Linked DNA regions of Sus scrofa. The protein of the gene in region 1 interacts with the protein of each later gene in a pairwise test. Links are inferred from orthologs where the notes say so. Each region holds a gene or a part of one and is shown in the gene's direction. Other genes may lie near its edges. The genes, in order: RABL6 and SPINK7.

Region 1 (3,066 bases):
GGGCCCCGTGACCCTTCTGTCTGCCCTGTAGGTCCTCCGCAAAGGCCTCAAGGCCACATCGGGGCGCAGCTCCCAGGACCACAGAGCCCCTCTGGTCGGGTGGCACCAAGCCCCCCACTGAGGGCTCCTCCCGAGGGCACGAGGACAGGAGGGACAAGCAGGAGTCCTCAGAGAGCGACCCCGAGGGGCCCATTGCCGCCCAGATGCTGTCCTTTGTCATGGACGACCCTGACTTTGAGAGCGACTCAGATACTCAGCGGACAGCGGTGAGGACTGACCTGGGCGCCCGGACAGGTGGCGGGTGGGTGACGGTGGAGAGTCAGGTCAGCCCACGGGGCCTCGGCCGGGCTGTCCCATGGGGGCCTGTAGGTAAGGCCCAGGCCTGTCGCCTGTCCCGGGGAAGGCACATGCGGTGCAGGGGTGGCGGCATCATGGCTGCCACACTCAGGCCATTGTCACTCTGGGCGAGCCCACAAGGGGAGGGTCCCCTCCCTGCGGGGTCATGTGACGGAGAGCTGGGGCCGGGTCTGGCAGCTGACCTGCCCGCTTCTTTTCCAGGGGGAGTTCCCCGAGCGAGAGGACCTCTCTGATGGGACGGACGACGACGCCGGCCCTGTCCAGCCGCCTCCGCCCGCCAAGCCCCCTGCCCCCACCTTCAGGCTGAAGAACGACGCTGATCTCTTTGGGTTGGGGCTGGAGGAGACCCGCCCGAAGGAGAGCAGCGGGGAAGGTAGCGGGGGGCTACTGGACTGTGGCCCGGCAGGGGCCTCTTTCTGACCGCCTTCCCTGTCCCTTTGTACCTGGGCCCAGAGCGTGGGGGTGAGGCGAGGGCCTGGGCAGCAAGGACGTCCCGCAGGGACAGAAGCCCCGTCCCAGGCTCTCCTCGGCCTGCTGGGAGGCAGCTGTGTTTCTGACGACATCCCAGACTTGCGGGAGCACGAGGCTGCAGGCCACGACTGGGCTGGGAGGATGGCAGCTGGGGACGACTGACCTAGGGGCCACACCACAGGATGTGGTGGCATGGGCAGTGCTGCTGGGAGCTGGCCGAGAACTCTTCTGGGCCCCCAGTCCGGCCCTGCGTTCCGGCCCTCCGCGGAAGCAGCTGGCCTGGCTTCCAGGCCTGATAAGGGCTTGTGGCTCCGTGTGGCCCTGGCCAGCTCCCTGGCTCGCTAGCCCCATCCCCACCCTCCACCCTGGGCCGCTTGAGCCCAGCAGTGTCAGCTGGGGCCTGTCCTGGAGCTTCCTTGTCTCTGCCGTGGAGAGGAGAGGACCTTCGCGAGCTGGTCCTGGTGCTGAAGCACGGGCCTCTCCACAGCAGGGCGCTTCTGCTGCCTTTGGAGCCAGGCCCCCCGGACCTGGCAGGGGCTGAAGCCGGGCGCTCTCTCTGGGCTGTGCTTGCTGGGGACCCGGCTCAGACAGGGCGATTAGAGGCCTCTGTCCAGTCCCAGGCTCAAGCCCAGGCCTCCCCTCCCCATACCAGCCCGGGAGGCCCAGACAGGGGGCCTGGCCTCCGGTCCAGGGAGCTGACCTTGTGCCTTATCCCTGCAGATAAGGAGGGCAAGGCTCCCTCGAGGGAGAAGAAGAAGAAGAAGAAGAAGAGCGGAGAGGTACAGCCCCGGCCCCGGGCCTCCCTGGCACCCGCCGGCGGCGTGGGATCCCAGGCGGGTTCTGCTCTCCTGGCACCCGTGACGCCGTGCTGTCCCCTCTCCAGGAGGAGGAAAAGGCAGCAAAGAAGAAGAGCAAGCACAAGAAGAGCAAGGACAAGGCAGAGGACAAGGGCCGGGAGGAGAGGCGGCGGCGGCGGCGGCCGCGAGGCCCGGAGAGGACTGCGGTGGAGGAGCTGGAGGCCTTCCTGGGGGGCGGGGCCCCGGGCGGCCACGCCCGCGGGGGCGGGGACTACGAGGAGCTCTAGTCCCGGCCGCCGCCGACCACGCCCACTGGGCGGGGGCGGGGCCTGCCCTGCGGGGAGGGGGCCGCGGGCTCTGCGGGCAGCCGGCCCCCAGCGCTTCTCAGGGATGGGACTGAGGCCGAGGAGGCCTGCCAGGCTGTTTACAGGGGTGGGGCCCTGCTTGCCCCCGGCCCCCCGCACGCGCGCACCCGGCCGGCTGCATGCGGGTGGCCTCCGCTTCTTGCTGCGGCTCGGCCAGCGCTGCGGACCGCCGGTCCCCCCGGCCCTCGGGGCTCTGCGTGCAGACGCCGGGCAGCGCTGGCACCTCTCTCGGGGGAGGCTCTCCCCAGGCATGGCGTCTAGCTTTGCGCCTGCACCCGAGCTCGGGCGTGCGCACAGGCCGGGTCAGAGGCCCCGCACTCTCATTTCCTCTCACTCTCCTCCACCACCACCCGGCCCATAAAGCGCTCCTGTTTTACTGCGTGTCTGTGTGTGCTTCTCCCTGCCGCTGGGCCCCTGCCCAGGTCGGACCAGCCCACCGCCCCCTTAGCCCCAGGGCAGCGCGGGCAGGCAGGAAGGTCCTGAGCTCCCTGCCTTCAGGGCGCCGAGCCCTTTCTCTGGGGGGGTGGCCCACTGCCCTTGGCCTGGGCAGCCTCTGGCAAGCCCAGGCCTTCGCGTGCCAAGCCCCATCCAGGGGATCCGGCATGGCCGCCGTCCTGTGCGCTGGGGAAGCTCCCACCTGCTCCCCTGACCTCAGCCCCGCAGCCCCACCCCCTCCAGCTGCCGGCAGGGCTCCGCTCCACCCACCACTTTACAGTTGCCATGAGAACTCCCTCCGGAGGCGGGCACACTGCCTGCAGGCGTGGGAGAGGGGCTGGTGGCCAGGCCTCCCCCTCCCCAATTCCAGTGCGGAGAGAGCTGCACACCCAGGCGGCAGCAGGAGAGCAGTCACTGAGCAGCTGCTGGGGGTCCATAGGGTCCCCATGAGCCCACAGCCTGTGAGGTTGACTGTCTTTGCGGTGGCTACTTAATGTAGGGGCCACACCAACCTGAAACTTGCCTCAGGCCCCTTCACTGAACTCCAGTGTGGCAGGTCCTAGCCTTTGAAGCCAAGGGCATCAGTGGCCCGCCCCTCTGCTAAGCAGTTTCCTGGCTCAGCATCTTGTTTGGGTGGGGGC
Region 2 (4,284 bases), on another chromosome or scaffold:
ATACACGAACACACACACCAGAGATAATCTATGTATATATATGAGATATATTACATACAGATATATTTATATACTGATATTTATACACTCTATATACATATCTATCTATCTGGTCACATTTCACACTCAAAACCACTTGGTTTAGAGTAAATATAATTTCTATGTTACATATGAGGGAACTCAAACATCCAGAACTTAACCTACACACCCAAAGTCACACGGTCAACATTTTTTAGAAGTAAGATTCCAAGTAAGACCCAAGGGACTCAGTGCACATGTTCTGTTTGTTTTTTTATCTGTTTGTTTTCACTTTCTAGGGCTGCCCCCTGTGCATATGGAGGTTCCCAGGCTAGGAGTCTAACCGGAACTACAGCTGCCAGCCTACCCCACAGCCACAGCAACGCAGGATCTGAGCCGTGTCTGCCACCTACACCACAGCTCACGGCAATGCTGGATCGACTCCAGGGATTGAACCTGCAACCTCATGGTTTCTAGTTGGATTCGTTTCTGCTGAGCCACGACAGGAACTCCTGCATGTATTCTTAACTAAGAGATTATACTCTTTCCAAACAGACGTGGGGATTTAAATTTTAAGGAGTCATGCAAAGTCATTTATTACTAGTTTGTCATCCTTTGTTGGTGCTATGCTTCAGAACGAACTACACAATAAGCCCATCAAGGTGAAGCTACGTCAACTGCCTGCCCCGGGGTTTTCATACATGTCCTCAATTCCAAGAGACAAACAACGGCCATCTGCACAATTATGCCTGGACGTTACAGTTACAATCTAACGTCAGCACCAAGAGCAGCCCCTGGCCAGTCAACAATAATAAGAACATCAGAGTGACAATTACATGCGGTACATTTAGAACAGACTTGGATGTAAATGATTCCAAAGATGCGAATGCAACTGCGGCTAGGTAGATCCCATCTGACGTGGCACGAAGCTAAGGCTCTGGTGTGGGCTCTCTGTGTGCCACCTCTTTCCTGTCCTCAAGAGACAAGGTGAGACGGAGCCCCGTAACCTCCACGATTACGCCAGGCGTTGCTTCTGAGCTGGGAAACTCAACTGCTGTAAGTGGAAACCCTCAAGAATGCGCCTTCATCTTGCCTTGAGACGAGCAATATTCCAAATCGTGTTGCCCCGTCTACTCGGAACCCAGGGAAGGCGAAGCAACCGTCAGTGACCGCCACACCGTGCAGCCTGAGTGAAATCAGCGTGTATTGTTTCCAGTCACAGAAAGCTTGGGATTACCTGGTGCCACCAGACAACCTGATCTTCCGAACTGACTTACCCAAGCGCACACGACTAGAACATGTTGATGCCGTTCTCCAAGTCTACAGATGCTCAGGCCACTGATCCCTCTACGTCCCTGTGCACCCCATGGGTTTAGTGCCTTGAAAATCAAACACCTTCGCAGGGGCCAAAATATAAACCTAAGTATAATCCGTCTGATTGTGGCTTAATCTCCTCTATCTCGGTGAAATAAAGTTCGCTCCTTTCACCTACTTCATCTTTAGGCCCAACAACCCGCATTTAGTCTCTTCCACTCACGGGGTTTAGGATTTTAAAAACAACAATCCCCGCCTCTAGAGCAGGCAGAAAAATACTTCTCGCCTCAAATAATCAATCTGTGGGTCAGATAGGAAGCAGCAATTAAGGGACAAGGACTGCACCATCACCCAGGGTGTGATACTGTGCTGCCAACAATGACTCTGGATGACCTCACAGGAAAGGTGGAGAAGCCAGCATCGCCTTATAAACAGGAGCCTTTCCCAGGGTCTGGCTGACGCTGCGGCTGTGGCGCCCCTGAGCAGCCTTGGCATCGCAGCCGTCATGAAGCTCGCCGGGGCTCTCCTCCTGGTCTGTACACTGGCCCATCTCTGCAGCTGCTCGGGTGAGTTAAGGAGGCATAGTGCCCTCTGCAGCCATTAAGCCTAGTTTTTCAAATCATCCCTCACGGGATGCCAGCAATTCAGAGAAATTTCTGGTCATGCGGCCCTGCCCTGGGAAGGGAGACTCTGACATCCTACCCGGGGTTGAGGGATTTGGATCTAGTGTATTCCCTTTCAAGGATTTTCATTTTCACGCGTGGAAACCAAAAGAAAAAAAGAGAGAACGAATTTTTTCCCTAAGTCTGTCATTACATAAGGACACTGGAAATGGCTGGTGTTATTAGATGCTCTTAAGGGCAATGATGCAGACAAGCCGGGGGGGGGGGACTCTCCACATCAAGGCAGAAAGGGGGAAATGAAGCACAGTTCTCCTACGCCCAGGAGGCAACGACTCTGACACGGTGAAAAGCTACTTGATAAAACAGACGTAACACCTTAGAGATGTTCCATTACATTCCTTATCCCAATCAGGAGGGAGGGACTATCAAAGACGGTGCTTCAGCCTCTTGGAAGTGGTGATGCAACACGTTCTTTCGCCTCTGACTCCAAAGACGACCAGAGACACAGGGAGCTCCAGAAAACATCTAGGGTCAAGACACGGAGGCAATTCAGATCATTTAGATAATTCTCCCACTTAAACCACGGGGCTCCCCGAATCCATGGGGCATTTGGCTTCCACAGCATCTGGATTTTGTGAGGACAGGGTAGGTGCTGAAACTCCGCCCCAGAGGAACTACCGAGTTCTGACCTGCAGGACCTCACCACTGGGCTTCCTTCTAACACTTCCCTTTGTCTCTCTTTCAGAAGCTGCTAGCCTGCCTTTGACAAAGGTGAGTAAAGAGAACGGCATCTGACCTTCAGTTCCTACTGACCGTCATTCAGTCAGCAAACCCTTAGGAAATCTGTATGTCGGAGTCACACAGGATGCTTGGGAGGGATTAGAGGGAAGGCGCACATCGGTAAGGAAACTGCCTCTGCTTCTCAGAAGGCAGCTGAAGACACGACGTGCATACACGTAAATAACTATAGCCACAAAACCATTCCAGAGTTAAAAAGAGGGAAGCTTGTGTCTGAGAAGCTGGTGACGTCTTCCCGGAAGGGACAGCATGCGAGCGTCGGGAGGGGGTTACTTTGGTTCCTCGCACGGGCTCTGGATTCAAATCCTATCCCTACCACTAGACTAGCTTCTGCATTATAAGCTCTCTTTTTAAGCCTGAATTTCCCTCCCGTGTAAACAGGGGTAAGAGTAGATCCTGCCCTATTCAGCTGTTCATGCTCAGGAATTGTTAACGGTGGGTACCAATAATAACAGAAATGGTGCTGGTGGCATTAGGGTCCTATTTTAACCACAGACGTAACGGTAACAGCATCTGAATACTGCAGAGCTCAGACGTCCAGGAGGGTATCTCTCTCCCGGGGCCACAGAGGCCAGGGCAGCCCAGCCCGAGGACCAGGAGGCAAGCAGGGCATTCTCTCGTGTCGGTTGCAGGTGGACTGCAGCGTTTACAGGAAGTACCCGGTGGTGGCCATCCCCTGCCCTATCACATACCTGCCTGTTTGTGGTTCTGACTATATCACCTACGGGAATGAATGCCACCTGTGTACCGAGAGCTTGTGAGTACCCCGCGGGGACAAAGGGGAAGCTGGGACAGGATCCCAGGGCAGTCCTCTCCTCTTTCCAGGAGCCTGTGTGACTCTCCACAAGCGGCACTGGGTCCCCCCAGAGCAGGTGGGAGAGAGAGAAAACTGGCCGCCTCGCTGTCAGGTTAGGGTTGGGCCACTTGCTCGGCCAGCTCGGCTAGTTCCTCCAGGACACAATCTCTCACTCCTGTCTGGCGACTGGCCGAGTCTAACCAGACCACGAGCGTTCAAATCGCTGTCCCCAGAGCCCAGACGATCTGCAGAGACAGGTCAGGCGTCACCAAAGAGGTGAAGGGGGTCACGGGGCGGTCTCCCACCCCGTGAGCTTTAGGTTATTTTCAGCAGTGGATTCTACGTAATTTCTCATTGGGCTTCTGAATCTCACGCTAGAAAATCACTGAAATCACTGTCCTGCAGGACTTCTAAGAGACCCAACAGCCTTATCGGATGCCTCTTAGATAAACTGTGCCCAGAGGGCCTTTTGCCTCCTCAGTGTCCCGGTGGCCACAGCTTTGGGGGTGGGGAGGGTAAGGTCACCACAGGGAACCTTCCCTCTTTGGACGCAAATAGGGGGGTGCAGGCTGGACCAGGATCTTCCGGGCGTGTTCTGTTTAAGTACTTTGTTTGGCCTGCAGCGGATTCCTGAAGAGAGTGTAATCAGGCAAATGTCAAAAGAGGCAGGGGGCAGAAAGAGGCAACTCGGCGTTCCTGTCTCCCACCAAGACCCCTTCGCCCCCTGTAACTGCC

What was found.
Region 2: the proteins of RABL6 (region 1) and SPINK7 interact in binary tests that used the Homo sapiens proteins (3 or more experiments, as listed by UniProt). The link is inferred for Sus scrofa from reciprocal best matches to the Homo sapiens genes RABL6 and SPINK7.

The regions. Positions count from the first base shown.
Region 1 is NW_018084833.1:985,042-988,107, reverse strand, and holds the end of RABL6 (rab-like protein 6), read left to right. Parts: intron 1-31; coding exon 32-266; intron 267-558; coding exon 559-730; intron 731-1,548; coding exon 1,549-1,607; intron 1,608-1,711; coding exon 1,712-1,912; 3' UTR 1,913-2,371; downstream 2,372-3,066. UniProt on the Homo sapiens protein: May enhance cellular proliferation. May reduce growth inhibitory activity of CDKN2A.
Region 2 is NC_010444.4:149,609,897-149,614,180, forward strand, and holds the start of SPINK7 (serine protease inhibitor Kazal-type 7), read left to right. Parts: upstream 1-1,474; 5' UTR 1,475-1,720; coding exon 1,721-1,898; intron 1,899-2,700; coding exon 2,701-2,726; intron 2,727-3,385; coding exon 3,386-3,510; intron 3,511-4,284. UniProt on the Homo sapiens protein: Probable serine protease inhibitor.